Linked DNA regions of Drosophila melanogaster. The protein of the gene in region 1 purifies or fractionates together with the protein of each later gene. This does not show direct contact. Each region holds a gene or a part of one and is shown in the gene's direction. Other genes may lie near its edges. The genes, in order: cta and CG14854.

Region 1 (17,035 bases):
TACAACAACAAATCTGCCGAGCGAGCGTCTCTTTAATTTCCCCCACGCTCGCCCGAAATTCCCAACGTTCATTTACAACATTTTGGTAACAAGACAAATCTGCTGATCAAGCGTCTGTTTGGCTTCCGCCACGCTCGCCCCATTTCAGCAACGCTCGCTACCGACGCTCTCAGCGTTTCCAACGCTTACCAACAATTGTGCTAACAGCACAAACCCGCTGATCAGGCGTCTGCTTCACTTCCGCCACGCTCGCACCATTTTCACAATGCTTACTACCTATATTCTTAGCATTCTGAATTCCAGGAAAATATTGCAACCAATGCAAAACCCTCCAATGCACCAAAAGCCGGGCCCTACTACCGAAGGCATCGCCGCTGCCGCTGCGACTGCATTGCCCGATTGTCTGCTACCTCACACAGCTTTCTTAGGGAAAAACTTAAATTTGTAAAATCAGTTTCAACCCATTTCTAATCAGAAGCAGACCCATTTTGTGTTCTAATTTTTTTCTTAACAAACATTTTGTTCGTTAAGTTACATATGTAATTGCTCGAAAAAAGTGAAAAACGACTACAGTGCAGTGAGTGTGGTGCAAGACACAATTTCTGTCGAAAGCAGTGGAAATTGATCGCAAGACGGGCCGCGGACAGTAGTAAAATTTGCCTCACAAAAACTTTAAATGCGTAATTTGCGATCTCAAACAAAGAGTCCTAAAATACTAATCTAGTTAACCACAAAAAAAGAACTAATGTCTCGCATATTGGAGGTCAATCCACAAGTCGAAGAAAAGATGCTCAAGGCAAAAGTCAATCGAGACCACCGAAAACCCGCAATGACATAATAGTAGCAGTAGGGTTTTTACTCTTTAACAAAACAGTCTGAGAGCAGACATACGTTATCATTCGTAAGAACGTTGATCCCGTAACGTTCCTTATAGAATATAGCACTGATAGCACTTTTTGACTAGCACATACCTAGGAAAGCTGGCCCACTCGAACGCACACAAACCGTACTAAGCTGCCACGCCCACTTTTTTAAAATCATGTTTTTAAATTTCCCTTCATATTATATGTTTTGCCAATTCTACCGATGTGCCAAACAAGTTATTGTCACGCCTACTCTAACGCGTATAGCTATTTTATGTATTTATTTATTTAACAAATTTAAGTATGCAATACTAAATATATTAAATTTAATGAGTACTAGATAGCTACAGGGTTTTGGTTAATTTTTGGGATATTTTCACAACAGTGGTACTTAAACTTTTCGAAATACTTTGTGTACCAAATAATAGCGATCTAATTGAGTGCAATCGATTGCAGGCGTCGAGAATATAATATGGTCAACGGTGAGCTCATCCCCGCTTAGATGGCATGTTCGTCGCGCCGTTTTCGTCAGTATGTGTTTATGTGTGTATAGTGTAGGCGGATGAAGGTCGCGCATTCCCGTTTATGTAAGTTAATAATTACAGCTTGCTTTAATTTTGTAGATTGCAAGCGACCCGTTATTGTAATTGATCATTTGAAATTAAAACTAACATACAAAATATTTCCCTAATAATTTGAAACTAAAACTAACATACAAAATATTTCCCTAAGTCCCCTAGCAATCAAGTGGAGGCGCCGGAAGCGGCGCAGCGGAGAAGTGTTGATGTGGCACTTTAACCGTTCGTTAACCGCAGCGGAGACTGTGCAGACTTCTGCTCAGCATTTTGGGCACTTTTGTTTACCCAGAATCAATGAAGAAACACAAGATGTGAGAGAATCGCTTGTAGGGCAATAAATGTTTTTGCTTAAGTACTAATTTTCCTGATTCTGTTAATATTGAAGTACTTCCTTGCTTGAAGTCTTAACTAGTTCCTTCCTAAATCTACTTGATAGCTTAGTACCTAACATTGTATTAACCCTATTCGGTCTATATTGTCCAGTCTAGCTTGTTCGTACTTTTCCGGAGCCACGGTAGCTATCCTACCGAAGAACACCTCTAGGGTTCGTTTTTTTGTGACAGAGTGAACAGTGGCTCTTAGATGGCTCTATCGAGATGTTCCAGGCCCAGCTGGCCTGTCAACATGAATTCACTCCATAATAAAACCCGATATCTCTTAAGGCTCTCCTAATGTCTTCTACAGCTTTTAATGTAATTTCCCATAGCCAGTTTTGAAAATTTATCAATTGCCGTGAGCACCAGATGTCGTTCTGTCGAGTAGATGGATATGGATTTGTCCGGGGTATTCTGGCAAGGGAGTTTCTTTTATTTCTGAATGTGTGAGATGTCTGTCATATTCGCGGTCTTACACACCAAACCCTGACTCACGATAGCCGTACCTTTTTTCCACATTTTAGGAAAGTATATTCTTTCGGAGAACTGAGCTTTAATTTCCACAGCATTTCTGTGTGCTCTATTGTGTGTCCTAAGTATGTCTTCCTCCTGTTCGGCTTCGTTAACAAGGTCTTTAACTTTAGTTTGAGAGAATCTAATCTTGAAACCCTGAAAATGGATAGGGTAGAGAATTTGTATTTTCCCCATTATATCCACAACTCGGAGGATATTAATCACGAATGGGTTGAGATATTCCTTCAAATCTGACAAGAGACTAACCGGTGTGAACAATTTATGTAGGGAATGGAATGTTGAATGAGTAATTCTCTGACTCGGACTTCCTGAAGAAAATTTGATTGCACTTATCGGGGCTTCAACGTATCAGCCCATGGCTCGAACTATCGGAGAGGTGCATTGATGAGGCTACTGTGTTTATCTGTTCGACTGTCGGCCCTCTGGACAGAGCGTCGGCTACAATATTTTCTCTGCCCGGTTAATAGAAAATCTCATAGTCATATTCCTCAAGTTATGCTTTCCATCTTTAAGTCCTCGCATTCCCATTCGAACTACTCAGAGAATGGGTCAGAGGCTGATGGTCAGTAAAGATTTTCACCTTTGCTTTACCGTAAAAGTAAATGTTGTGCTTTTTTAGAGCCCACATAATGGATAACATTTCTTTCTCATTTGTGGAATAATTTTCTTCCGTCTCTCAATAAAAATGAGATTGGTCTGTTCTCTTGTGAAAGAACAGCGCCTACTCCGAAATTGGAAGCGTCCGTTGTTAGGTGAAATTCTTTTTTAAAGTCTGGGTAGTGGAGTATTACGTCTGCAGAAACCAAACTGCACTTTAATTTCTTGAAGGCTTCTATTGCTTCACTATTAGGGGAGACCGATTTTTTTAACGATAATGTCTCGGAAACTCGACCATCCTCCCCTCTCAAAAGAATAATTCTAGTGTCTTTTGCAATAAAAAGTTTTCATATTTTTATTTATTTTACAAATTTTTATTTTCTACTTTGTATTATTTTTATGAATTATTTATTTCTCAATGTAATGTCTTCTTTTTGTAAAATTTTTAATCTTTAATTACAGTAGTTATAATAATTTATATTTTACTTCCTTTAATTATTTAGTATATTTAATAAGTCATTTGACTTAATATGATTTATGTATGTTAATGATCCATTTTTATTATTTAAAATGCACATTAGATTCAGTTGTTTTTCAGTATGTTTTTTTTTTTTGTTATATTCCAATTCAATAATTTTAAAAAGCGCGCCATTTCGGGTGGGAAGAAAAGCGCGCCAATTTTTTTTGTTTTTCCTTTTAATTTCTCTTAGCCCGTTTGCTTAAAGTTGGCTATACGCAGAGCTCCTCAATTTTTTGATATTTTCGCTATATAATCGAATTTATATTGAACTAAAGTCGTTTTGTTGCAAAAGTAAAGTACGAAAAAAAATATAAGCGCAAATAGTAATTGTGATAAATAGTGAATAGTGTTTACGTATTTTCGTAATTTGACGCGCTAAAATAACGTGCTGCTGCTTTTCGACAAAGTTTTGAGTTGAAATTTATAAATTGTAAGTGAAAGAAAAAAACATTTTAATGGCCCATTTGAATAATCTTATGGATATGGCCAAGAAAAAAAGAAGATACATAAGTGGGAACAAGTGCAGCTTATCCCACTATCGGAAATCTAGGCGCGATTTCCCCGCTCTTAAATTGTTTAGATTTCCTGAAAGGGATCCAACAATGCTAATAAGATGGGCGGAAAAATGCCAATTTACAGAAGATTTTGTGGCGAGCACTTCATCACTGTTTTCGCTTATAAAAAATTGTCAGATGAGAGACAAATTAGAATTAAACATAAATATAAATGTGTAAACGGTAGCTAATTCGAGCGGCGATTTTAACAAACAAATTTAAAAAGCTTTAAAATTATAATTGTCAGGGCGCAAATTTTTAAAAATTATTTTATTTTATCATATTGCTACGAAATTGGCAAAAAAAAAAAACTACCCTAATATGTACAATGTAAATTCATTTCTTCGATCAGAATTGATTTCGGCCCGAAAATCGTCTTCTAGCACAACACGCACACATATACGCGTTCCCGTCTCTTGTTTTTACTCACACAAGCAAGCAAATTCTATTTTTAGATTTCTTACGTTCTCAGCGTGAGCGAGCGGAAAGAGAGCAATTTTGGCCGTCACCAAAAAAGTGGCTGCATAGTGCCAAACCAATGTATGGCCGTTACGCATCTTGTTATTCTAGTGTCTTTGCTCAAACTGTAGGGCAATAACTTGTACGTTCGGTAGTGGCTTGAACATGATCCAATTTGGCTTAATAATCTGGTAACTGTGCATTAAGAGTGCCCATTCGGAGAGTTCTCTTTTCTTTGAGGTATAGCTTTGGATATCCTTGCAGCTAAGCAGAGTCAAAAGGGCTGATGGTGTAAGTCTCATCTCTTGGGCGGCTTTGTCAGCGAGTTTGTCAGTTGTCAGCGAGTCCGTGGATTCCTTGATGATTGGGAACCCAGAGTAAGGTGACCACAAAAGTGGTTGAGTCGTTGACTTTAGAACCATTGGTATTAATTCAGTTTTTCTTTTTCTTTCTTTTTTTTCAGCTTTGTAGATCTGAAGGCTGTTTGAAACCCCAATGTGCATAGGCAGGGTGAGGTCAAGTTGCTTGATGTAGTCAGCGCAACGTGTTAGAGTGGATATGCATTAAAAATTCAGCTTTTGCTTGAAAATGGCTCCGAAGTCATGGGTTAGCAGGCAGTTGGACGTGGTGTACAGCTTCGAGATTAGCATCAATGTAGTTTCTTCTACGCGGAATTCCGCCAAGTTATCCAACCCATAATATAAACTCTGCCCATTTGATAAGCAAATTTCACACTCCAATCTCAACAGCATTGCCTTTGCCCTTGTTTTTGTCGCCAACACTTAGCCTGCTTTTGTCCTTGTATTGTCGCCAACACTTAGCCTGCCGCAGATTGGAAGACGGTAGTCAATTTTAAATAGCATTAATGCGTGCGTAATCGTAATATCTATGAGAGTCTTAGTTATATGTACGAATATTTAGATGATAGAAATTTAATAATGTGAAATCTAGTTTCCAGTTGTTTTCTTTGAATCTGACAGTGCTGTTTGAAAAGTAGTTTGCAGTCGAAGGTCATCCCCAAATTTTTTAAAAAGTTTACATCATTTATTGTGCGGAGAGATTACAACGTTTTTTCCGTCAAATTATAATAGTTGGCATTTTTCAATGGCAGAGAGGTATTTTCGTGCAATATTTCTAAAAATTTTGTGCTGACTGTATGAATATTTTTTATTTTTGTAAAGTGAGATGTAAATATATTTTTGCCGAGTTACAATGTTATTTATTTCTTCAATTGCAATCATAAATAAAACCGCAGAAATTGGCGAACCTTGCGGAATTACATTGTGTAAAATGTTTGAATTCGATGTGACATTGTTTATTCGAACCCTGGTAGTTCCGCCGTCCAGGGCGGCCATGCTGCACCCCGGGCTATAAGACGGATGCAAAGTACAGTACGCTGTCATCAAGTCTGATCACCGCTTCCGAAATAAAGCCTTCTGCCCAGCTCTCTTAAACAATATTAAGCTTAGCTTTAATTAGTTGACAGCCTTACAAAGAATCTAAACGAATTCCAAAAATCTTAAACACAGGTGGCGAGCACGCAAAACGGAATAAATATTTATTTATTTATTTCTCTATGTAAGCTAATGGCCATGATATTAAGATTAAGATATAAAAATATTTTTTGAATCTTACCTAGCTTTAGTGTATTGGATCAACCTAATATCGAAATAAAACAGAATGCGAATTAAACCAATCAATGCTACTGTATCCATAGCAAAAGTTAAAAATGTTTTTTTTTTTTTAATTTTCATCCCATACAGGTCATCCTATAAGGGAACGTGCCCTCTCCAAAAGTCACTTCATTAAAATAAAGTTTTAATTTTAAAGAAATATTCTACAACCAATTTTTTTATTAATGTTATTGTAACTGATTTGTTTTGTTCCCAATTAAAGAATAATATTTTCTTCTCATTTTCTTTTTATCTTATATGCTTTAAAATTTAAAATTAAATTATAAATTACATTCCTGGTAAACCCGATATAATAATTTGTTTTTAATAATTCTTTACACTAAAGAGCTGGACCTGTTGCTTATAATATTGTCAAATTGGTTCACATATGGAACCAATTTCACCGAAAAACTGATCTGTGGGAACATGGTATAACAAAGTTGACACGAATGTTTATGTTTTATATACAGGCAAAAATTATTATCACCGCTGTTGTTTGCTCCATATATAATTACAATTATATTCCTAAAGAAACGTAAATGTAATGGCTGAGAGTGTCATAACCTAATAACGATCACGTTCAGTGTCTTATTGGTGTGAACTTTATTCCGGAATTTGTGTTGCGTTTAAGTCTGATGCCATGTAGAAATAATGGTTATGGCTTTCAGATGGCAACATCGCCTTTTAATCTAATATGAGGCCTACAATTAGAATATGCAGAATTCAAAAAGTGTTTGTTTATAAATTAAAGCGAAAGCAAGACGATGAGCATCTGCTGTTAGTGTGGGGAGTGTTTGACGTATTGGTGTTCGTGTGTGTATATAGAAAGTGCGAGCATCAGGCGTTGGCTTGCCAGCGATGTCTGGCATTACATTGACCAAATTAACTCAAGAACGAATTTCCATTCCAAACAACAATGTCATCACGAACGGCGTCGAAAACAACATAGATAGTGACACGCTTAGTGGTACTCTGACTCATCTTATGGAAGAGCATCGCACGCGGGTGGGAGCGGTAACTGGACCAGAAGCAGCGACCACGTCTACAGACGGCCTAATATCGAATGGAGCAGAGCGACTGCGACTTCAGGGCAGTCGGCTTCAGACCTCGCGCTTTGCTTGCTTTCGATGTTGCGGAAATATTATCACATATCTAGTAAGGCTGCGTAGTACCCCTGAGGAACTGGAGCAGCGCTACAAGTCCAAAGAGATTGATAAGTTCCTGGAAAAAGAAAAACACACCTTTCGACGTCAGGTAAGGTGATTTAGGGATATCGATTTCTAACCCTTGCTGTTGGTTATTTTATTTAAATGTTAACAACGAAGTAAAGGAGATATTCGACAAATTAAAGTCTATGTACAATGGCGGAAAAATTATAATGTGTTTAAAATGTAATTTCTGTACAATGTTATAAGCATATATTTAATTTAAAAAGTTACGTTTTTTTGCTAACAATTCTAGAATTATACGTATGTGTTCTTAATTAACAGGACTAGGCAAGTCGGTCGAGTAGTATATATGTACATACATACATACATACATACAACAAGCGCTATATATTTGTAACCGAAAAATATAAAAACAAGAGAAATCCTATAGTTGTGAGCTCCGCAAGTATAAGATACACGCTACTTAGGTAATGGAAGACTTCCTACTTCTTGAGGCCCGTCCCGTCTCGAGCACGAAACCTAGTCCCAAAAAAAGCCCGGGGCCCTGCCCAAGCTAAACACGAACAAATTAAAAAATAAAAACAATGCAATTTTTTTTAATTTAAAGTATGTCGGTTTTCTTATATTTATATTTCTTATATTTTGTAAACAAAGTTGATTGCAAAAAACTTAATATTTAGTACAGTTTTGGTGTTTTAAACATAATTTATGACAAGTTTTTATTTAAAAATATTTTTTTTTTTAAATTAGAACATTTTAAACGTGTACATCGCTCATTTAATACAATTCCAGAGGTAGAAAATAATCTTTTGCTATTCGCTGAGCTTGCCGGAATGGCAATTCAATAACTTGAGTTCACTACATTTCCAAAATTCTAACACATTTTGGTCTGAAGTAGCTGCACAGCCATTTAAATATTTTTCTATTTCAATATCATAAGAATTTAGTTGTAACTAAGTTTTTTTGAAAAATTTTTAATCCTGAAATTCTGCAAACAGTCCTAACCCCTTTTTATCTGGGCTTGCAGTTCTTAATCCTATAAAACTCCTCATCACTTTGCATTTCTGAAAGCATTGCTTTGACAGTTACAATTACATTCTCCTTAACTTTTGGCGATAAGCAACACATTTCCTTAACGGGAGAATTTAAGAAGAGTCCAACATAATGTGCCGTTTATGGTGCACATCTTTTATGTAAAGAATTTAACGTATTATTTTTCAGCTGAATTATGGTTTCAGAATCGAGCATTTCACTGGCGCACATCTTTAATACTTTCTCCGATCACAAACAAAATAGATTTATCGATATTAGAATCCAAACTGTATTCTTCCATAATTTCCTTAACGTTATTGAGGATGTTCTCGCCTGTTAGATTGTGACAAACAAGTTTAACTTTCGGTTCTGCCTGCGGGCTTTTTTCTTAGGGCACGAAAGACGAATTTGAGGCCCGAACCCAATTTTTTTGGCAAAGGCCCGCGGGCCTTGAAATAAAGCCCGGCCCGCGCTGCATCATCATTTAAAAAACATTATAATGGTCCACATTACAAAATTTTTGCCAGGCACAGTCTATCAAATACTTTTGCAAAACGGACTTAATTGTTATAGGCATTTTTTAAAATAAATCTCCATTCAAGAACAACATTTTGTTTTTTATAAGCATGCAGAGTTTTTTTCAATGACTTGTTCAAGGGTAATAGTTTCTTGTTCACAGAAAGGGTAAGGAGTTTACTTTGGGTGAGTCAGGGAATGTTTTTAAATGTCTTGTTTTTGAAAAAACAATTGAAGATATTTCATGGAATTTCTTCACCGGCCCCAACCAGGTCTAATTTTCTACTTTGACGTGTTAGTCGATTTTTCTCGGAAACGAACAAGGTTTTAGACCGATAATTCGGTTATGAGCATAACACAAACTTTTGCACATATATTTTGTTAATCCATTCATAAAACAAATTAACAATATAAATCTTGCTCCATCTCTTATATTTCGTGCAATGGAAAGAAGAGGTTTGGACAAGAGGCTAGTTTGATTAGAAACGGTCGGACAAGCATGAATATTTCGATTCGCTTGTTCATATTGATGAATAATATACATATGTACACTGCGCCTCACCAGGTTAGCGCACCTTGAGTAAAAATCTTTGATGTGAGACATTTAGAAAACTGCTTAAGCGAAAGTTTTTGAAATTTTTTCCCTTAAAAGTTGTAAAATTTCATAAATGAAAAGTTTATATGGGATGCAGTTTGTTGTTTATAGATTTTTGTTGAAATAAAAAAGAAAAACAAAAACACCAGAAAAAAAACATCAGGATAGCGCCCCTATGACAATTTAGGTTTTTTTTTATTAATTTCGAAAAAAGTTAGATGATTATCACTTAAATGTTTAAAATCTAATATTTTTAAAGAAAACTAATAATTAGTTGCTTCTCCTTTGTTTTCAAGGACTTCACACATTCGTCTGGGAAGTGAATCATATATTTTTTCTAGGTAATCCAAAGTAATCGTAGACCAACCGAACTTTTTTCCGGTGATCGATTTCTCTTGAGTGACATATTGCTTACCACCCTCGTATACCTTCCCAGCCAACCATCCCCACACGTTTTCTATTGTATTAAGGTCCTGGGAGTATAGTGGCCATTCCATAACTTTTACATTATCGCTTCGAATCCATGTTTTTACCGAACGTGTGGACATTGTCGTGCTGAAAATGCCATTCTAGATTTCCAAAAACGTTCTTAAAGTAGGGAAATGCAGTTTTTAATACACACTTATAATCTTTCGTGTTTATTTTTGGTGTTAAAAACTTCCAATCACAGGGGACATAATAGGATACTGCGCCCCATACCATGACACCTTCAACCCGACTGTGAATAAGATCCAAAATGTGCTCCTCTTTACGCAAATCATGATAGTAATGACAATTGCCGTCTGGTTCCTCCAAATTAAATTTCATCTCGTCCGAAAATTCGACATAATGCCACTCCTTAGACCAGGTCATGTGAGCTCGAGCAAAACTCAGGCGTGCTTTTTTCGCAACTTATTAAGAGTTGTTTTTTTTTTTTGCAGTTTTTCGTGTTTTAAATGATAAGCTTTCTTAATCACCCTTTGAATTAACGATTTCAACTGCTTTTCACCACTTTTTTTTCGAATTTTGGCGGAGGACTCGTGGGAATTGCAATGTATTCGACATGGACATGCGATCTGCCGCGTTAAAGACAAGGTTATTGCCGCTTTTATAGTTCTTTCCATAAGTTTGCTCGTTTTTAATAAAATTGTCTACAGTTTTGAGATGTCTGTCGGTTTTTTCTGCAATTTTATGAAAAGGCAGCCCGCATTCAAAGAAAGCTATGATTTCGAATTTTTCCTGCAAGGATAACAGCGTCCCTCTTCTTATTTTTTCGCTAAATTAGAGCAAATTTTTCAACTTAACAGCATACAACATTGTCTCTTTGTTGACCTACCTTTCAAATTATGGAAGTTATTCAAAAGTAAAACAAAGCAGAATTAGAAAGATAACGGTTCTTCTCAGGACCTCTTTTTTATACTCAAAGAGAGAGGGAGTATCAGTAAACAAAAAACAATAACATTGATATATTTTCGTGCAATGGCTAAATACAGAACATAAAAAGAAACGGAGCCATGCAGGGGCGCTAATCTGATGACGCGCAGTGTATATACTTTATATCAAATAATTATGGTAGAAAATGTAACCTGCGTTTAAACAAATCAAAAAACCCTCTCCAATGATATAAGAAGTATGTATTAATCGCTTTGTTTAAATCTAGCCAAAACCTACAGCTTGCCTAAACAGAAGCTGGCTTCGGAAAAATCAAATTTGTGAAATTTTAATGCTGAAATCGTTTGCCCACCAATTTTTTTTGCCCACGTCCAGTTTTCGAATTTGAAATTTCGATAAGGTTTAAAAATGTTCGAAAATCAAAAAGTTGACTTTTTCACAATCACAATAACATCGTTTGCCCACCATTTAGAATTTTGAAAAAAGCTGTACTTTAGAAAATACATATAAAGGCAATATCGGTATACTCAGAGAATACGTTTGCCAAACTCATAAATTAAATATCAGCATTAAAAAACGTTTGCCAAACCATAAAAAAAATGTAGGCGATCATCTGCAAGACAATATATGCATAACTGTATTGTGAATAATTAATAATAATAACAACATAAAAATATAATAATTAAATACAAAGATGGAAATATGTACCTATGTATGGAAATATGCTTCTATACCTTTCGTCGTTTGCTTTTCTGCTTACTCTTACTTTCGCAGAGTACGAAAATGTACATACATACAAAATGGGCACTTTAGTTCCAGCAGCAACTCACTCAAAGGATACTTTTCCATATACACCTGTGTTCAATGAAATAGCAGCGCAAGAGAAACTAATAAATACACAGGTATTTTCCCATGTCCTTTTCCGGAATCGACTTTTTATTCCACTTATTTTTGTAAAATGGAATGTGTAGATAGAAAAAAAAAGAAAATCCCGTTTGTTTTTCATGTTTTACTTATTTTCTTTACATTCTTGAGCAAAATTTACAACTTTGTTCATTATTGGAATAGCAGTTTCAGTTTTTGACCTACGTAAAGTCAAGAATTTAAGCATATATTCTAAACAGAGATTTTGGTTACGTTAATTTGAATATTTAAAAGGGCAATAAATTAAAGAAAATATATAAAAACAATTCTATTTTAGTGTGTAGAGGACAGCACTGCTCCCAAGAGAATAGAATTTTAATTAGTAAGCTAAGAAAGGAAGGGAAACATAAATAAATTCGAAAAATCTTTGATTCCAATTCCATTAAATATGAATTGAAGCCCGAACCGTGGTTCCATATGTACAACCACAGATATAGAGGATCGACGCATTGTTACTTACAGCAAAGTCAATCCTTTTGCATCCTCTAGGGACGTAAAGACTGAGCTGAACTGGGAAATCAGAGATGGTATAATTTGGAGACGACTACTAAATCAAAATTTAAGTGCGAGGAGTCCACGAATGGCGCCCCTACATAGCCCAAGGCATATTTAGGCACGGTTAAACTTCTCTAAAACCTACCTAAACTGGCCAGTCAAACTGGACTGATGAGTCAAAAATAGTGCTATTTGGTGGAACTGGTTTACCATAGTATGTCCGACGACCTCCACTCACGGAGTACCACCCAAAACACCCACTCAAGACTTTCAATCATGGTGGACGTAAAATCCTGGTATGGGTTTGTTTTCTTTTTACAATGTTATGAGTCCAAAACATTTGATTTATGGTATTATAGACCAAAACGCATATGTAAATATATTTAGTGATGTCCTACTGTCATATACTGAATTCAATATTTCCTTAAAATGGACATTCCAACTGGATAACGATCCGAAACACGTAAACAGATCGGTTTACCCAAAATAAAATGTAGGCAAAAATTACCCCCAAACGTTGCCAGGACCTGGTGGACTCCATGCCGCGTAGGTGTAAGGCTGTGCTGGCAAACAAAGACATTAGACCCTAATTCACACATTAAAAAGGAAAACTAAGTTAGTTCTAAATAATGTTGAATTTTATTAGTATTTTTTCATAGCACTGCTATTTCAGTGAACATTTCTTCCTATTATGTTGTTTTAATCTATATATTCGAAACTATTTAAGAAATAAGACTGAAACATTTGTTGAATTGTTTAAAATTAAATAACTAATAATATTAATATTAATTATATTATATTAGCTTTATATTGTTTTGATTTTGTTCCATATATTTGTTCGATGTGTTTGCCTAAATATGTATTGTATATGTCGCGCAGCGAGTTTCGAACGCATCGAAGGTCTACACACAATTAATTTGTGTCACTCACTTCTTCTCCGTGCTACCCTTCGAACCACACTCGGCGACAGCGACCACACGCTGCCGCCGCGCTGTAACGGGAGATGCCAAAGCTACAAAAATACAGCCGACCAATAGCAAATATCAATGATTTCCCCGAACTGATGGAATTATTATTCTTGTGAAATATTCTAGCACATCCACCAGCTTACAAAATTATGCACCGACATATATTAAAACAAAGTTTCGGGCGTGGACGTTTTGGGCAGTATTAGGGAGTTAGAATGGGCGTGGCAAAAGTTTTGGCAAATTGATAGAAATTTACAAGACTAAAAAGTAGCAACACATTTTTCAAATGTGTAGGCGTGCCAGTTTTGTGGGCTTTAGAGTGGGCGGGGCAACAAACTTGTGCTGCGTCTGTCTCTGGAATCTGCAATAAAATCTTAATTTTCTACCTTTTATAGTTCCTGAGATATCGACCTTAATACGAACAGACGGACATGGCTCAGATCGACTCGGCTATTGATCCTGATCAAGAATATATATAAAGTATAAAGTATACGGTCGCAATTACTTCCTTCTGCCTTCTGAATTTAGTATACCCATTTACTCTTGTGAACTGGACGTGTGAAAAAACTAATTGGTGGGCAAAAATGCACAAACGATTCCAGCTTTAAAATTTCAAAAATTCGATTTTTCCGAACCCAGTTTTTTGAGCTAATACCAAAGACATTAGAATAACAAGATCTTTTTCATTTAAAGCTCCGTAAAGCAAAAAGTATTTATTTTAACAGAATAGCGTTTAGGCTGACAGCAGTCTGCGAAGCGATAATATTTGGGAGAGAAGGAGCGATAAACCACTGCATACATTTTTAAGTGCACTCGCTCGAAAGATGTCAGAGCGAGAGCGAAGCGAGTTGCGAGCTCAAGCCATAAAGCGAGAGAGCAGTTTGCAACCTGCTTTATCGCTTCAACTCGCTCAGAGCGTACGACTGTTTTGTTGTATTCTGTGCTTTAATTGCCGTTTATTTTTAAAACACGTTTTTTTGTTTTGTTTTGTTCCATTTAGTGCTTGTTGTTAATTATGTTATTAATTATAATATAATATATATATAATAGTAGTTATATAATAGTAGTTATATTGTAGTAGTTATATTATATAATAATTATAATTAAACATGTTATTATTAATTTTTGGCAAGGCAGTATAGGGTCTTTAACAAAATTTGGACAATTCTTCGTCAAACGACTTATAATTTTATTGAAAATATGATTAAAAGTCGAAATAGACACCCCCTAATAGTTAAAGAAACTTTCTGTAAATATAAGTCATTATATAAAGTATTAAATTTGCCTTTTTCATTTCTATTGAAGGGAGGTGGAAGCCAGTTTTTTTTAACAGATAGCTAATAGTTGCGCTTGATGCAAAAAATCCTCGTCCGAATCCACCACGATCACATTAATAACTAAAGGATAGCTCGCTTCTCGCAAAGCTCTCACTCTGCCATCTTCTAGCTTTGCCCAAAGCTTCTCGGTTCGCCGTCAGCCTTAAGATATGTAGGGATTATTTTAAGCGCATTTGAATGTTACCAACTTCACCTTTATTAACTTTGGACCTTGGAATATTATGTGAAAGTGCAGTTTTGTGTTTGCCCTATACTCTAGAAAAGTTTTAAACAAGCGGTAAGACAAAAATTTCATTTTTAGAGTGCAGGCTTTGCCCGTATTTAAATATTTTTATTTAATTTACATTTTAAGAGTAAAGAAAAGAAGAAAAGAAAATCACAAGTCTTTGGCGTCAGGGGTTCACAAGTAATATGCGTAGGAAGTTAAGCTATTTGTAGCTGTTTATTCGATATACGCTTACCTAATGCTGTCTGTTTTATGTACAAAAGGGATTTCAAGACACAAAAATAACATTTTGGCACTGGTAAAGGTATTATTTTTAGAAATTTAAATTATTCCATGTTATAAAGCCAAAATGTTTTGAACAATTATGTTACTTAAAAAAATACTTGAACCAATGAAATTATTCAGGTGTGGAACAATATTCACCAATCGTCAAGAATAATCTTATCAGGGTACTCTAAACAAGTATATATTTTTTTGATATTTACATATACCTGCTCGAATCAAGATCACAGGCCCATCCTGGCCATGTCCCCTCGTATGAGCTCCGAGATCTCATGAAGCTTACATAGATTAGGCATGAAGATCCCAAAGGCAGAGACGTAGCGCCAGTTTAATTGCTGACTTCGGCACGCCCACATTTATTTTTCTCCCCAATTTCTATATATATGCCAGAAAAATTGTTTAACGTCTGATAGTTGGTGAACTTGACAGCGTTCTATCGGGAAGCTATACCTTATGCAACACAAACTTGATATACTGACATGGCGAAATTCGGTTCTAGGTTAAACTGCTGCTTTTAGGTGCTGGGGAATCTGGAAAATCAACTTTTCTTAAACAAATGCGAATCATTCATGGAGTTAACTTTGATTATGAACTGTTGCTGGAATACCAAAGTGTCATATACCAAAACGTTATAAGAGGTACGTATATATATTTATACCGAAGAGGCTCTGTCTTAGAAAACTAACCTTTAAGGTATGCAAGTCTTGTTGGACGCTCGCGAAAAATTAAACATTGCGTGGGGAAGTGACGGCAGAGAACAGGATGCTTATGATGCCAAATTAATGGAATGTAATTCACTAGACGTACCCAAGTTTATGGAGTATGCACCACCAATAAGTCGACTGTGGCAAGATCGTGGCATTAGAAGAGCTTTTGAAAGAAGACGTGAATTTCAAATTGTAAGCTTACTGGCAGCACAATTACATAATATACTTTAAAAATTATGTTTTTAGAGCGATTCTGTAAGCTATTTCCTAGACGAGATTCAACGGCTAGCTACACCTGATTATGTGCCAACGCACAAGGACATATTACATTGCCGGAAGGCAACTAAGGGTGTTTATGAGTTTTGTGTGAAAGTTCAGGTGTGTGAATTAAATAAAAATATAATATTACCTCTAAAGTCTCGGTTATTTTCAGAACATTCCATTTGTGTTCGTTGATGTTGGTGGACAGCGAACTCAACGTCAAAAATGGACTAGATGTTTTGATAGCTCCGTAACATCCATTATATTTCTCGTATCTAGTTCGGAGTTCGATCAAGTTCTTGCGGAAGACAGGTAAATTATTATCAATTAACGATTATTAATTAAAAATTATCGTTACAGAAAAACCAATCGTCTCGAAGAGTCAAAGAATATATTTGATACAATTGTCAACAACGCGACATTTAAAGGAATATCAATTATTTTATTTCTGAACAAAACAGACTTGCTTGAACAAAAAGTTTGCAATCCTGAGACTGACATTCGCTGGTACTATCCGCACTTCAACGGAAATCCACACTCAGTTTTAGATGTTCAGAACTTCATACTACAAATGTTTATGAGCGTTCGTCGCAGTAGTAGCATAAGTAGGATCTACCATCATTTTACCACAGCCATAGATACGCGTAATATTAATGTTGTCTTTAATTCTGTTAAGGACACAATACTGCAGCGTAACCTTAATGCTCTTATGCTTCAGTAGTAACCACCATTCTTATAAACAAAAATGAAGAGTAAGAACTTGCAGTTATTTTAAACGACCCATGAACAGAATTTTACAATCGTGAGACTGACCCTTGCTGAAGCTATTTGCAATTCAAAGGGAAATGCACATGGTTTTCAATGCCTTAGACACGTGAAGTTAAGCTACAGTGAAATCCTTCGGTAACTATGATAAATAACTATATATAATGATAAAAACCGAGACTACAGCATTTTAATATGCATATAGACTTATTTAAACCCATCGGCAAACTTAGTT
Region 2 (15,509 bases), on another chromosome or scaffold:
TTTGTGTATTTTGGGTCTGGTTCTCGTCAGCTTGATTGCCACCCAAGCAGCCGATGAGCAGGTGGTAGGCGGTGTCAGCCAGTTGGAGGGAAACAGCAGGAAGGAGGCTCTGGAACTTCTGGATGCCACTCTCGCACAGTTGGCCACCGGAGATGGTCCCAGCTACAAGTGAGTTAGAACTGAGTTCCGAATTTAAAATTCATACTAATTGATCTGCTGATCTTAGGGCAATCAATGTGACCTCTGTGACGGGTCAGGTCGTAGCTGGAAGTCTTAACACCTACGAGGTGGAACTTGACAATGGATCCGACAAAAAGCAGTGCACCGTGAAGATCTGGACTCAGCCATGGCTCAAGGAGAACGGCACCAACATCAAGATCAAGTGCTCTGGTGACGATGGCGAACTGGACCGCACCTGGTAGAAGATTCTTCGTGAGAATTGCCCTGAAAGAAATAATAATAAAAAAAAAAACAAGATACACGTGATTTAAAAAATGATTTTTGATTAATTTTCGGGGAACTATTGTTGCAAAGTATCCAATATATTGTTGGGAAAAATAATAGGAGTGTATAAATACTTGATTTGCTTTGTTTACGTTCCGTGCTAACCAATTCCCATCGCTAGGCAATTACACACATACTATACATATACATATATAAGATACTATATATTTATTGAGATAACAACCATAGAAGCTTTCACTCCAACAAAAGCTCCAGAAGCTGACTCACAATCGGAACGGAACAGAGTGATATCATTTCATGTTTTGGTTTTGGTTTTGTTGAGTTTTGCTACTATCGCCGCCATGTCCAACGTTCCAATTGTAGGCGGGATCAGTCAGCTGGAGGGGAATGAGAGGAAGGAGGCTCTGGAACTCCTCGATGCCACCCTCGCACAGTTGGCCAACGGAGATGGACCCAGCTACAAGTGAGTTAAGGCTAAACTCGGTCTAGAGCTTGCCACTTATTAATTGATTTTACTCCAATTGAAGGGCACTTAATGTAACCTCTGTGACGGGTCAGGTCGTAGCTGGAAGACTCAACACCTACGAGGTGCAGCTGGACAATGGATCCGAGATAAAACAGGGCACTGTGCAGATCTGGAGTCGCGCATGGCTAAAGGAGAACGGCACCAACATCAAGATCAAGTTCCCGGGTGAGGACGAACTGGACCACACCTGGTAGAAGGTTTTACCTTAGACCTACATACAGTTTAACTCTTATCTTAAATGTTATACATATGTTATATACTGGACTTAATTATAGATACCCTTAGGGGGGAACCATATTCTTGCGACCTCAGGTAGCGTACAGAAGAGAGCCTTACCTTTACTATCTGGGAGGATTTGTGTACATTTGGTTACATTAAAACATGATCCGATGGAAAAGGTTCTCTTGGGTTTCAGGTACAAGCCGGTGAAGTAGGTTATAAAACTGTTCCGATGTTGGTTAACCAGTTCTGTTGGCATAACCAGTTTGTTTATATCTCAATATATATATCTCAATAGGTGAATCGTATTATCTTTTCTCTCAACTATTGTGTGTGTTTAATTAGTCAGCGTGGGCGTCATCAGCGGTGTCAGTGGATGTTACAAATAATAATTCCCCCTTTCTTGCTGATAATAAGCTTGTTTTTTTTAAATAATCAGAAGACCTTTCGAAAACAATAGACATTAGTAATTTATCAGAAACACAACTGGCAACTGGTAACTAAACTAAAAGCGTCAGTAAACTCCACCCCCTAAAGTCATATATTCATTCTTATCAACCTTCATTGAATAATCATTATCTCTCGAAAAGTAGAAATGAAAACTTTAAACATTTGCTAACGACTGACTCAAATAAAGGTGTACTCACACAGAATGATTAGTCCATACAATGTTAATGCTCCTGACCTGGGCAAACAATTAAAATGATATCACAAAACGACAGGCCTGTGCAAAACCAAAGTAAAATATTAACCAATAAACTGAAGATTAAGTAAAAAAAAAGATTCAAAACAAGCGGTTTCAGGTTTGAGTGCACACTACTTGGCGCCTCTCCTTCTTTGGGGGCCGGTTGGCGTTGATCGCGAATAAATAAATATACATACAATATATTCTCGGCGAGCAATCCGATGATCTCGGTTTCCTCTATAAAAGCGGTCTTCTATGCGCCGTGTTTGCTCAGTTTGGAACAAGTGTTTCGAGGGAAATGCAGTCCGTGAAAGTGATCTTTGTTCTGTCTGTGACCCTGGCGGTTGCCTTTGCTAACGTGAGTTCGAGCTGATATTGTTATTATTTGATATTTGCCTGACTTGTCAAAACAAAAGCCGAGGTTGCCGCCCGGTGCCCCGAAGCCGCTGGATGGAGATGACTTATCCAAGGCTAAGGAGCTCTTGGACACAACGCTCGCCAAACTTGCCACAGGAGATGGTCCCAATTATCAGTAAGTATAAGGTAATTAATTTTGGAAAAATTTCGATGATAAACGGCAACAGAACAAGTGTAATCTTATCAATATAATTAAAGCATGACGTGATTTATTTTTGATTAGAAATAACAAAAGAATGAGAGATTTTAAAATAGTGTTCATGCTCGTTTCAGGGTAGTGAATGTGATCTCGGCATCTAGCCAACTGGTGGCTGGGTCGCTCTACAAATTCGAGGTGAAGCTGTCCAACGGAGCCGAGACCAAGGAGTGCAACGTAAAGATCTGGGACAGGCCATGGCTGCATGAGCAGGGGGAGGCCACCAATGTGAAGGTCCAGTGCAAGGATGAAGATGTGCTCGAGAAGACCTGGTAGGGCGTCATTGCTGTGTTTAACCATACAATTTGCAATACAATAAAGGTGCAATCTCTGGTGCTTGAGAAATGGGACAATAATTTTTCGAAGCTTGCCTACTCCGGTGACTCCCAGAAATGATTGTGCTTATATCATGAACTGTGATAATTAATTTGTGCGGATTGTGCAGTAACCAGTTTTTCTTTATATTTAAAACAAAATGTTATCACGTCTGTGTGAATAACTAGCTAGAAGGCAAAAACCAAACCCAAGACGTCTTAACCGATCTTTTGGCGATACTTGCGAACTTTCTTTAGGATATGCAATTTATTTATACATTTATTTTGTAGGCACAAAATTAAATGCTATTGGTTCTGCTTAGCCTGTTATTCCTGTTATTGCGACGGTTCCTCCTGCGCCGAGCCTGCTGAGCCCGGCGACGTCGAGCGCGTTGAGCCCGCTGGCGGCGCCTCCGACGGTTGTTCCGCTTGTTGTTGCCGCTGTTGTTGCTGCTGCCGCTTCCGGAATCGGGGGTGCTATCTGGCGATCCTGTTGAAGGACTAGTGTTATCGCCTGTTGAAGGAGAGGTCGATGGGGAGGTGCTTCCATCAGTGGGCGTGGTGCTTCCATCAGTGGGCGTGGTGCTTCCATCAGTGGGCGTGGTGCTTCCATCAGTGGGCGTCGTGCTTCCATCAGTGGGCGTGTTGCTTCCATCAGTGGGCGTCGTGCTTCCATCAGTGGGCGTGGTGCTTCCATCAGTGGGCGTGGTGCTTCCATCAGTAGGCGTTGTGCTTCCATCGGTGGGATCGTCTTCGGCAAAACTGTAGCTGGAAAAGCACAGGACCAGAAGGCCAAGGCTCAAAAGTAGAGTGGTCGTCCTCATAGCTGGTATTGCCTTGAATGGATGGGCTTGGATGATGATCTCGAGATGATTGCTATGCTTTTATACCTCTTGTACAGTCTTTGGTACCATTGTAAGGATGGTCGACAGCTGTGACAACAAATCGATTGAAAAGAAGTTTTTCGTATTACCGAATTCCGACAGCTGCCCAAATACCACGCGAATTAGACAAAAAGCTTTTATTTAATAAATTCGTTCTTTCGTTCCTATTAAGACATTGGTTAGCCAAATACAGGCGGCATCGCGTATTTCATATCGGACAACATCAAGATCTAGTACAATATCGCGTTGATCGAAAGCTGATCGGTACACAACTAAGAAGTTAGTTAGTAGAATGGCGCTGTTTTCACAGCTGGATTTTAGGCGCTTTTTAAAATAGGCTTCTATTAATTAATTCTCAATACTCAATATTTGGCAAAACGGTCATGAAATTTTTGATTATTATTTTTCTTGCCATTTCCTATGGATTAGGACCGCATTCCAAACTGTCAAAATGATGGCTAAGCAGAAAAGAGTTTCTAACCAAATTGCCAAAGGACAATTTGTAGTTGTTGTTGTTAATTCATTATAACTGCGTAAATTCATGACTATTTTTAAAATAAAAAGAAATTAATAAATAAAGATTTATTCTCCTTTTAAAGAGTCGTTATCAATCAATTTTTCTGCCCCATAGGTGGCGCTGTACCACTGTTCTTCTTTTAGCTGAGTAACGAGTATCTGTTAGTCGAGAAAATTTAGTATAGTCCACCATGTTCTTTTAAATTATTTCGTGATTCCCAATATACTCTGGAAATCCGTAATAGTTAAAAAAATTTGTATTCCTAAAAATAATTGCATTTATTAAATTCGGTATTTGAACTTATTTCATTCAGATTTGTAAAGCCAAAATCGTTATACGCAGTTATGTTGTATGTATCATTAATACATGTATCATTAATACATCTGTACGAAGTATAAGAGTGTATTGCTCCAGCCCATCGTTTGTGCGAATTTTTCGCAAACAATATGGGAAAATAATGCAAAATGTATAGGAACCAGCTGCGTAAATTTGCCAATAATCTTTGAGTACAAAAGTCGCGTGGAATTAACTGCCTATAAAAGCCACTGCCGCCAACCATCTGCAATCCAAAATCTGAAAGTCTAAGATGAAGGCCACTACTATTCTAGCCGTTGTTTCCGTGCTCACCGCTTGTCTTTTGAGGAGCAGCGAGGCGGTGACCTGCACCGCCGATGCCACTGTCACAGGATGCATTGACTGCACCACCAATCCAACCGATTCCGAGTGCGTGGCCGAGGCAGCCGCCGATACAACCAGTACAACTGTAGCAACGCCCACCACCACCGCCACCACAACATCAGCGACGGCGACCACCACTGCGGCCTCCAGCACAAACACTTCCTCCGGACGGCGAAAGATCGTGCGCATCACCAATCTGCGCTACACCAACGTTCGGCGCATCCGCGTCAACCGGAATGGATCGGGGAGCACCACCGTCCGGAATCGGAGGCGCAGGAACAACTCCAGACGTGTCAACGTGAGGCGGGCCAATGGAAACGTTATTGTTGTCGGCTAAGTACGCGGAATTCAATAAAATGCTCAACAAGATATGGATTTGAAGAAGTAAATTTTATTTTATATCCAATTTTCTGGGAAGTATTCAATTTTTGGCTGGGTATAACAGGGATTTAGCTTCTAACAAAATCTTACCAATTTTAAAATGCGTTATGTTACAGAGAAATTTCCAGTGCATATAGAGCATTTAAAATTATAGACGGTACATTTGGGTACGTTATAATATTAAGGAGTTATTGACGATTTCTTCACCTTAACCCAATGAAATAACACATCACACATACAGAACTTTGAACTTTATTGAGCAGGGGAAACCAAAAATTTAAAAACATTAAAAAAAAACTATAAAAACTTTTTAAAAATTGGTAATTTAACTATTATATAACTCTGTTGTCTTACAAATAGAAGGTCAAGATAGGTATTATTTTGTAGAAACAGTGTTATGAAAGTTAAGAAAAACGGTAACATTGGGTTTAAATGTATTTACCTGTTGGAGAAGTAGATAATGCTCTCTTCTAATAACAAAGCTTTATAGCCAAAAAAAAAAATGTAAGACCATATTTTTCTAAATTCTCATCAAACAACAGGAGAAAACAATGCAAAAAGTCGAAACAGCTGTGTCAATAATTCGATTTAATTGATATGCTATATGATATATATATATATATTATATATATACATATATAATGTCGATGCTAACACTTAAATCAACTACATTGCAAGAGTAGCTTTGATCTTCTATTCTGGAGTCTTGATCCTGGCAGCTTGCCTGCTGGAAAGCATCTTAGCGGTCCCACCGTCGTGGGATGCATCGACTGCACCATGATGCATGACCTTCTCCACCAACAACGTGGAAGGCTTAGCCGAGGGATTCAGCTCCAAAGTCGTTTGAATCGCGAATCCCTTGAACTCGGAATGCGTGGCTGGTGGTACCACTTTGAAGTCCCCCACCGCAAATGGTGGTCAGTGAACGTTTCCCTGGAAAAAGGTCAAGTGTTGTTCATTTTCAAATAGATTACAGCTTTGATTGTTAAATAAAATTCTGCGCTATTTCTGAAAGATCCCTTTTTATTCCAAACTGCCCTTCCTAGAAGGTTTTCTTGAGTTGGTATTTAATTTTTGTGATTTTGTGTTGATCTTTTAGTAGTGCTTAATCGTAGAACTGTTCAAGGCAAGACATATAGCATACTTTTTGGATGACGCTTTTTGACTCAACTTGAATTACCCATTATTTTAGTAGATCAGACGTCGACTTGTAAATTTGAAATAAGAGATATTATTAAATTAAAAGATCAGTTTATCATTGGTTCTTATAAAAATATAATTTTTTATTTATATCATCATGAAATATCTACATATGTATATATCTTTATTCAAATAGGAAAACAACCATTTCAATTGTAATTTTATTTTAATAAAATCTAATCACTCGATTGGGTTTCTCAGTTTTACAATAATAGACAAACGTTTGATTTAATTTTCAAATATATTTATTTGATAAACAGTTTTACAATTGTAAACATTCTAACCATTTTTAACCAACTACTACGCGAACGTTTCCGCGACTGCTCCTGGAGTTGCCTTGCCTGGCGTTGTTATTCCTGCGCCTGCGGTTCCTGTTGGTGTTGGTGGAGCGCCTGCCAGAGCGGCCGTTGGAGCTGGTGGATCGAGCGGTGGTGTTGATCCGAATGCGACGGTTGACGGAGTAGCGCAGGTTGCTAACGCGGACGATCTTTCGGCTTCCGGTTCCGGTTCCGCTTGATGTCGTTGGCGCAGTGGTGGTGGTCGCAACGGTGCTCGTTGCTGGAGCCACTGTGGTTGTGGTGGATGTGGCGGCGGCTGCCTCAGCCACGCACTCGGAATCGGTTGGATTGGTGGTGCAGTTGATGCATCCAGTGACGGTGGGGTCGGCGGTGCAGGTCACCGCCTCGCTGCTCCTCAATAGGCAGGCTGCCAGGACGAGAATGGCGAAGATGATAGTTGCTGCTCTCATAGTGGATTTGTTGATTGGGGATTGTTGATTGATGGTGATGTCGGATTTTGGTTAGGCTTTTATAGTGGCTTGATCGAGGTCAAGGGGCGCTCTTCCTATCTAGCGATTTTCGCTAATATGTACGCAGCTGTTTCTATACGATCATATAAAATATTAGACATTGTTTGCTGCCAAATCGTAAACTATCGGCTGTGAATCCAAGTTGAGAAATGAACTAGTTTCACCTATTTACTCAAGAATAGAAAATGAGTATATTTTAATTTATCTGATTGAAGCCTGGTTTGACTTGTATTCATATATGATAAAACTCTCATCAGTTCGAAATATACATGACTTAAAATTTGTCAAAAATGGTGAATTTTTTCCTAAGTGTATGTATGTTATTAGAAATGGATGACTTCTTCTTTAATATTTGCCTTGTACACTATTTGCTATTGAATGTGTACCCACAAGATGATCAATGCCATCTGTGGATAGTTTTTTGCTTTTCGGTTGAAGGTTGTGTTTGTTTGTTGTACAATACAATTAGTTTAAATGGTTTCAAAATTATTTTAGAATAGAAATAGACTTGAACTTATTTGTGAAATAGATTTTCTTTATACATAAAACAAATGATTTTATCAAAATAAAGTTTTAATTATTATGTATTTCTGAGGTGAAACTATTAACTACCCAATAAAAATTTTTTCAAAGAGATATACTTCACGTTGTCGTTAAAGTACCAATTAGAAGAGATATTTTTAATTTTTGTAATAATATTTTTTCTCCTTTGTTTGAAGACAATATACTTATTTCTACACAGCGAACTCTTAAAAATTTGTTCAAACTATTTTTGTTGTTGGATGCTGAATATAGGTTTTATTTAGTATTTTTTTTTAAATTTTATAAAATCGAATGTTGGCTTTAGCCCGATTGGTTTTGCCTCCTGCGCCTTTGGGCCCTCCTCCTCCTCTGGTCCCTCCTCCTTTGTGCACGCCTCCTCCTTTGAGCGCGCCTCCTGGCCGCCATCCTCCTCCTCCTTCTGGCCACAGCAGCCGCGTTGTTTGAAGTGGGTGTGGAGTCGCTGGGCGACGTGGAGTCACTAGGTGAGCTGGTCGGAGCTGGAGTGACAGTGCCGCTTGGCGAAGTAGGCGTTGTAGATCCCGCCGGGGTCGCATCGGTGCTTCCTCCTGTGGTGGGTGTCGTGGTATCTGTTCCATCTGCGGGTTTCGTAGTGGTATTAGCGGCCTCAGCCACGCACTCCGGATCGCTTGGACTGGTGGTGCAGTCGATGCATCCAGTGACATTGGGGTCGGCGGTGCAGGTCACCGCCTCGCTACTCCTCAATAGGCAAGCGACCAGGACAAGAACTCCTGATAAGATGATCGATGTGGCCCTCATTTTCAGATTGATGGTGTCTTCGGATGGTAGCACGGTCTTATATACCGCTGTGATGATTCCAGGTGACTTATAAAACCAAAGAATATATGCAAATTTACCCAACTGGTGCTATCAAATGATTGTTTTTTTTTGATATCTATTGTATCTATATAATTGTACAAGAAGATGATAGCTAACCAATTGTCATCTGCTGGTGGGGACTTTTGTTGGAAATATATACTTGTTCAATACGTTTATCTTATACAAATAATTGCCAAATTTATTCAGCTGTTCCTATCGACTTTTGGCTTATTTCTCCGAATTCTTCACTCAGAACTTACCCTGATCGGCGTAGTTATTAAAGTTATTAAAGGTACATCACAGGGATGTCCCATCTTCAGAGTCCATTAAATATCTCAATCATTTGGGATTGTTAAGTGCGGCGGATGCAAGTCCATAAATAGTTAATATGCTATTTGTTTAGGTACAATAATCCCCTGTTTTAGATTCATGGCTTTTATGGCATAAATCCAAAGGTTTTCTTTTTATAATACATAATTGAATGCTAGTTTATGCAGCTTTCCATTTGCCAGGCACAAAATAAAGGCAGATATTAATGCAGAAAACTACCAGGCAGAAAGTTAATAGCAGTATTTTGCACTTTAAGCTCGCACTGGGTTAATTTCCCTTATTTGCGGGTATCAAAATTTTATTTGAGTACAAAATATGTTTAAATTTTAGATTCGCGTGTAAGATTTACTTTATGACTTCCCAATTGTTTGGTTGTTTTGTTTTATTTTATAATTATCATGACGTCACATCTTACATCCAAGCGAAGCGAGAACAATGAGCGTGAATATTTTAAATTCATATTTCGCAATTTAACGTAGATGCGCTGACCAGCTCTGATTTTTCAGTTAGTTTCGCTTTTAGCTGATCAGCGAACGGTTGAGCCATGGATTTGTTTAGCTCTCTGCTGCTGTGCCTGGGAATTATTTCATTACCCAATGTGGTAAGTACTTTGTGTAAATTGTTTTTGCACCCTATAATTTTTTAATGCATTTTTAGTTTACGATTTGCATTCCGCCCAATCACTGCATTGAAGATGTGAGTATGATACTGGTCTATTTAAAAACACAATTTAACTTGAACTAACACAATCTATAGTTGCTAGTCCTCCTGATTAAACACACTTTATTTTCTGTTCCACAGATGGAGGAAAGCGATGCGAAAGAGCGATTCGACTATGTACTTGGCAAATATGAGGAGGTGGAAATGAATATTCCCGGAAAACCAGTTGGGTGAGATGAACTTTAGCGCGTGTTTGGTGTTCCACTAATTGGCTTTTCATTTCCACCGCCGGCAGTTTGTATGGGAAAGTGGTTACGCATGGCGAGGCGGAGGAGCAGCACTTGGTGTTCCAGTACATGGACAATACGCTGCATGACATCATCCAGACGTGTGCGTTTGTGGTCAAGCGGAATCCCGGTGAGTGCGAGAACATCCGCACCTACTGCTCGGCCTTTCTGAGCCGCCTGCCACGCCCCCTGCTGGAGCGCAAGCCCATCAACGTGTGTGACGATGGGACGCGAGTGGCGGAGGACGAGCCGGAAACGGAAGCGGAAGACAATCCGGATGCAGATGCTGAGGGGGAGACTGATCCGCAGCAGGAGCAGGGAGTTGGTCAAGCGGAGACCACAACAGCGGAGCCGGCTAGCTCCAAATTAAGTGAATTTTATTGAGTGGGGTGCAATGTCATCCGGCGGTTTGTTCATTCATCTCGACATTTAAAAGACAATTAAACGCACAATTGTAAAATAAGTGCATAAGTAAGTGCAATTGAGATTAATTTTCTTTAACATTCAATTATCCGTTTTAAATATCTCAACTCTTATAAATTTTCACGTATTTTTATGTTTTAAGTATTTAAAAACTAAATTATACAAATAAACGAGTAATGCAATTTGTACGTTGCGTATACGACTTGTTGGCTTGCTGTAGATGGGGTTGATAATGTTTATTATAAATTAATGAGCTTTACAGAGAAAGTGCACTCTTTTTAAAAAAGTAAAACCATCTGATTTATATCATCGGAGAACTTGTAAACTAAGTATTACTCATATTTGACTACAAGTCAAACAAACAGCGCCTAAAATTATGCTTACTTCCAATGTCTACTAACATTTCCCCTTGGCTACTCAATGTCACGGCTTCCCCAGATTGAGTTAGGAAGCTCTGACAGCAACAACTATGCGGCTTTTAGTTCAACAACTGACGGCCAAAAGACTAGACCAGGCCAAGTCCGGCGCCTGCGCCGATCCCACGCTGCACAGTGGGCATATTACGGCAAAAATACAAAAATCAAGTTATTCAATTAAAATTGTTCTCCACCTATTACAAACTTTTTAAAGCTATATGGATCAAACCGCAGACAGATTGCAAACAAAAATAAAATTTATTGACAACTAAATATTTTACACGTATTCAATACAAAATACTGTATAGTAACTAACTAGCACTTAGTACTTAGTACTTTACTACCGAAAACTTAAAAAAACGCCAACATTGGATATTAAGCCACTGTACTCAATGCTGACAGAGAAAACTCTCTTTCCGACAGAAAGAGAGCGAGAGGCTTGTGCCAAATAACAGTAAACAAAGCCCAGCTGCTGCTGCTGGCGGTATAAATTCGGTTTTCAGTTGTTAACGGGGCGCCAAGGCGAACTGGAGCAGCGAAATCGGAGCACCGGAGCAGGAACAAAAGCTCCAAAACGCTGCACACCCACAAAAATTTCGGAGAAGCATAGAGAAAGACCGAGCCAGAGAGATTGCTGGGCAGGCGGTGAGAGCACCTTAGTAGAGAGTTAGAGAGAGATTCTCCCCGAGATAGATTGTTATTTGTGTTTGGCGACAGTGACGGTCCGGTCCCGTGCCGCACAGAATTATCTGCTCAGTGCTAAAGTTGTACTCGTGCTGCGTAGCTCGTGCGGGCAAGGCCGTTTCTCGACACGCCCGCCCACCCACCGCCCCGCGCGCCCTCTGCCACGCCCCCAGCAGCTGGGAGCAGCAGCTGCTTTTCAGTAGTGAAGTGCGTGCGCGTTTCGCGGCAAACGGAATTGCCGCCGGTTGTAAAACAGTCACAGGATAAAATCGAAATCAGTTCAGTTCGACTCAACCCGCTTTTTGCATAATCCAAAACGTAATTCGAAGGGCGAAACTAAAAATGTATAGCGGCGCGTAAATATACTATTTGCTATTTACTTTGCCGTGCAATTTCCAGTCTGAATCGCAGCCCACCCCCCCGTTTATCAACGAAGCGCCAGTCGAGCCGTGTTATCAGCAAACGAAGCGCGACAAAAAACACAGAAAAACGTACTACAAAAAAAAAAAAAATAATAATAAAAATAAAATAGAAAGAAACAGCACAAAGTATATGGGAAACCAAAGTGAAAAGAAAATGCATTTGAGTGCGTGAGAGTGTGTGTGCTTAGGTGAGTATTAGCCGTACGATTGTGTGTGTTCGAGGGCCTCCGGCTCAGCTGAGTGCTGAGTAAACAAACAAAAACCAACCGAAGCCAAACACAGACCCCAGCACAAATACCACCGCAAATACCACCGCCACCAGCTAAATATATGGGAGCCCTCATCCACCCACACACTCGCACGCAATTATTAGCGTTCCCCAAATCCCCCAGAAATGTGCGAATTATGAAATATTTTACCCTTGAATGTCATACGTATTAGAATTAGCGGCGTGGGGACCAGCGAGCGTTACTTTTTAGCAAGTTTTTAATACCCCATCATGCGGTGGATGCTAAGGGTATGTCCAATTTCAGAAGCTCTGGAGTCAAAACGAGCCGAAACGAAGCTGAGATTAGAATTAGAAGCTGAAAATTTGATAAACATGTGCTGTTGAATTTTACTACCACATATTCTTTTATCATTCAGCACTTTATGAGGCCAAGAATGTATAACCTATTTCTTTTTCTCTTATATTTTGTTAGAAATTTGGAAAACTAGATCATACGAACAATATACTATATATCTCAATAGTATATTCATTAGTTTGTTGCCAACCCAAAAGAATCTTTCGTTCAAATTTGAGACAATATCCGCAGACCTCAAGAATGAATGCATTTGCCCACATGTTGGACATTTACTATGCCATAATTTACAATGAGATTTTGTAGAAAACAATTAAGACTATTTCAGATTAGCACATTTTCTACAATTACCTCAGCCTGAGCTAGAAATATTTACAGCAATTTTTTGCATTGAATCGCAGAATGTAACAAATATTATTGCAAATGTTATATTTAGATATTCATTTTAGGTATTAAGATTCCTATCTTATGAAATATGGTAATGAGTTTGCAAGAAAAATGAAGTTTTGTTAATTATTCCAAATGTATGCTTAGAATAAGCGTTTTTGGGCCACTTTTTGATATTCTCAAACGGATATCCCAAAGTCGGGACACTTAAAAATATAATTTAGACTCTTTTTTTGGGTCGTTCCATGGGGAATCAGAAAAGTAGCAACTAGGACTGTGCGTGGCCCAAAAAACTTTCCTGTGACGTGCGATACCTAACGCAAATTATTCGAGTGCTGCTCCAACGCATTTTGCCACTTTCCTTAGCGCGCGCAATTTTCTTCTCGGCCGCCCTTTTGGAGACCCGCCAAAGTGTCTGTGAAATCCATTAAGTTTTGTTTTCGTTTTTTATGAACAACATTGACTTTGTCAACGGTTCGCTCGCCAACATCTCCTGGACCCACACGCACTTTTCCGAAGAGCAACTGAACTGAGCAAGTCTTTTATTTTATTTTAATACCCTCTTCTTTTTGGCCACTCTCCCGCAGATTCCCCTTGGTGGATTTTTTTACAAAAATGTTGTCAAAATTTATTGACTCACTTTCGTCCTTGTATTATCCGGCTTTATCCGTCTGCTGCTGTCTCTTTGTTGTCACACCAGCGAGCGTGACAAGTTATTTCAAAGTGAACAGGAGCTTTAAGGGTCATAAACTGGGCTTTTCACAACTTTCAACAACTCCAATTAGGTTAATTATTGGTCTGGCACAGCTATATGTGAGTATTATCTTTATGAAGTACCATTGCTAGTTTATAAAGAAACTATTTGTAAAGTTCAAATGTATTTTGTGTGATTACATATCACAAATATGCTTTTAAAAGTATAGGTGTATTAATTTAAACAAAATAACTCGAGTTAAAGCATAAACCTTATGTCTGAGATCCATTAACTCAGCAATTGTTTTTCGACTACCTCTAATGAAGATCTGTATGAGCTAAATGCCCGAGAAGGATGTAAAGTAAATAGAGGAGCCGGCTAAAAGGTTCCAAAGTGCCGCACCGCACCTGACTTTAGTGTCCTGCTCTTAATCTCGTGGGATTGCCCCTGTATTCTGTTTGTCTTTTTTTCTTGTAAAATGCGTATAAGGTTGGGGCCGCGCGGATTTATAGTATATGTAGTCCCGATTTTCGTGGGGACCGCTTATAAATAGTCCCCGTTCTCGGCGATTACCCTTCGCATGCAATTTTCCCCGGCACTTGTTTGCCCATCTTCTTCTCTTTTGCTTCTTTAGGGCCGGGCACGTGCCTCTTACTTTGCGGGAAAACTGGAGCATTTTCGACGGAAGCCCCATGGCCCAAAACTCGCTCTCGGCCATGTTTATAGCGTCTGCCGTTGACTGACGTTCATTGGCTTTTGTGCGGATATTTGTTTTTGTTATTATTCCGCCATTCTCGGGCGTCCGTGTCCTTCGTCCTTCATCATTGGCCATAAAACGGTGTCTCCGAGCACATTTCGCTGGTCGCGTCGGCATCTGCGGCTGTTCTCCAGCCTTGTCTTAGTATACAGGACTCTATCTATCCGTTCATCCTTCCTCCATTTTTACAAGTTTATTTTGTTCCCGAAATTCTCTGGAATCCTTTGCGTTTCATCCTATTGTTTGTTATCGCTCTGGGACTTCTTTTTACTCATCTGTCAAGGCTTGTCCTTTCCTTTCTTCTCCAACTTCATTTAATCAGCAATTCATTTATTTAAACGCCTTCGAGAAAATCATTTTTGCTTATTGATTGAAACAGAGAAGAAAGGCTTTTGGTGGAGGCGCAAAAAAGGAAGCGCGAAGGACACGCCATCTAAGCTTAAACAGTCACTAATTCGATTTGTTGCTTTCAAAATTAGAACACAATTAGTTATAAATCCAAGTCTACTTAATTACATTTGGCGTCTACTTTGGACAATTTATGCTTTGCCCAATTAAGCTGACTCTTGTACTTGCTTCAATATGCTATATATTTATGGGCTTATTTGAATTAGATAATTTATTACATTGGAAACTGTGAGTTATATATGATAGTAATAAACATTTCACAAGAAATCGAGTTAGTTCAAGATTAAGATACGTTAGATTTCGTTTTTATGGTAGCAACAAAGTTAACTAAATTCTTAAGACTTAAATTTAATAATGATACATAGTTATTTATATTTCCAACATTGATGTAAGACAACTTAAAAACTAAGAAGTTGCACAAAATTTGTTGAAAACTAATTACTTTTCCCAATATCTTTGCAGCAAGAAGCCTGAAAAACTAGCACAAAACATAAACTGGTAAGTCACGTTACGTATACGCAGCGTTGCCGTTTAAAATCGCTTACAAACTACGTAAACGAAATGTGGAAACAAAAAGGGAAGATGGAGTTCGATCTATTAATAGCTGGCCCAAAGGATAGTTGTAAAACTTTTCCTCCAGCTGCGATTCTTTGCAAAAGACACTATCGAAGACGGATGACACGGGCACGCCCCCAATCGGTTTACTTACTTTTTCGGAAAGACGGGGCATGCGATTTTTCTACAGCTGTCGTCGGACTTTTAGCTGCCATTTGAGGAAAGAAACCACATT

What was found.
Region 2: the proteins of cta (region 1) and CG14854 purify together in Drosophila melanogaster (affinity purification with mass spectrometry, with the first as the bait; one large-scale study listed by BioGRID). This does not show direct contact.

Annotation. Positions count from the first base shown.
Region 1 is NT_033779.5:22,975,188-22,992,222, forward strand, and holds the start of cta (concertina), read left to right. Parts: upstream 1-6,628; 5' UTR 6,629-7,010; coding exon 7,011-7,406; intron 7,407-15,566; coding exon 15,567-15,705; intron 15,706-15,760; coding exon 15,761-15,966; intron 15,967-16,020; coding exon 16,021-16,152; intron 16,153-16,207; coding exon 16,208-16,347; intron 16,348-16,395; coding exon 16,396-16,756; 3' UTR 16,757-17,035. UniProt on the Drosophila melanogaster protein: May play a role in a signal transduction pathway used during gastrulation. Required specifically for the ventral furrow and posterior midgut invaginations, where it is necessary for coordinating cell shape changes.
Region 2 is NT_033777.3:14,554,083-14,569,591, reverse strand, and holds CG14854 (uncharacterized protein), read left to right. Parts: upstream 1-9,537; 5' UTR 9,538-9,544; coding exon 9,545-9,601; intron 9,602-9,657; coding exon 9,658-9,696; intron 9,697-9,801; coding exon 9,802-9,890; intron 9,891-9,955; coding exon 9,956-10,331; 3' UTR 10,332-10,426; downstream 10,427-15,509. Other genes in the region: Cys (Cystatin-like), read left to right, coding at 1-168, 227-422; CG8066 (uncharacterized protein), read left to right, coding at 807-928, 993-1,185; CG31313 (uncharacterized protein), read left to right, coding at 2,194-2,253, 2,312-2,427, 2,586-2,784; CG14852 (uncharacterized protein), read right to left, coding at 3,122-3,646; CG8087 (uncharacterized protein), read left to right, coding at 4,810-5,238; CG14851 (uncharacterized protein), read right to left, coding at 6,772-7,230; Jig, read right to left, coding at 8,134-8,610.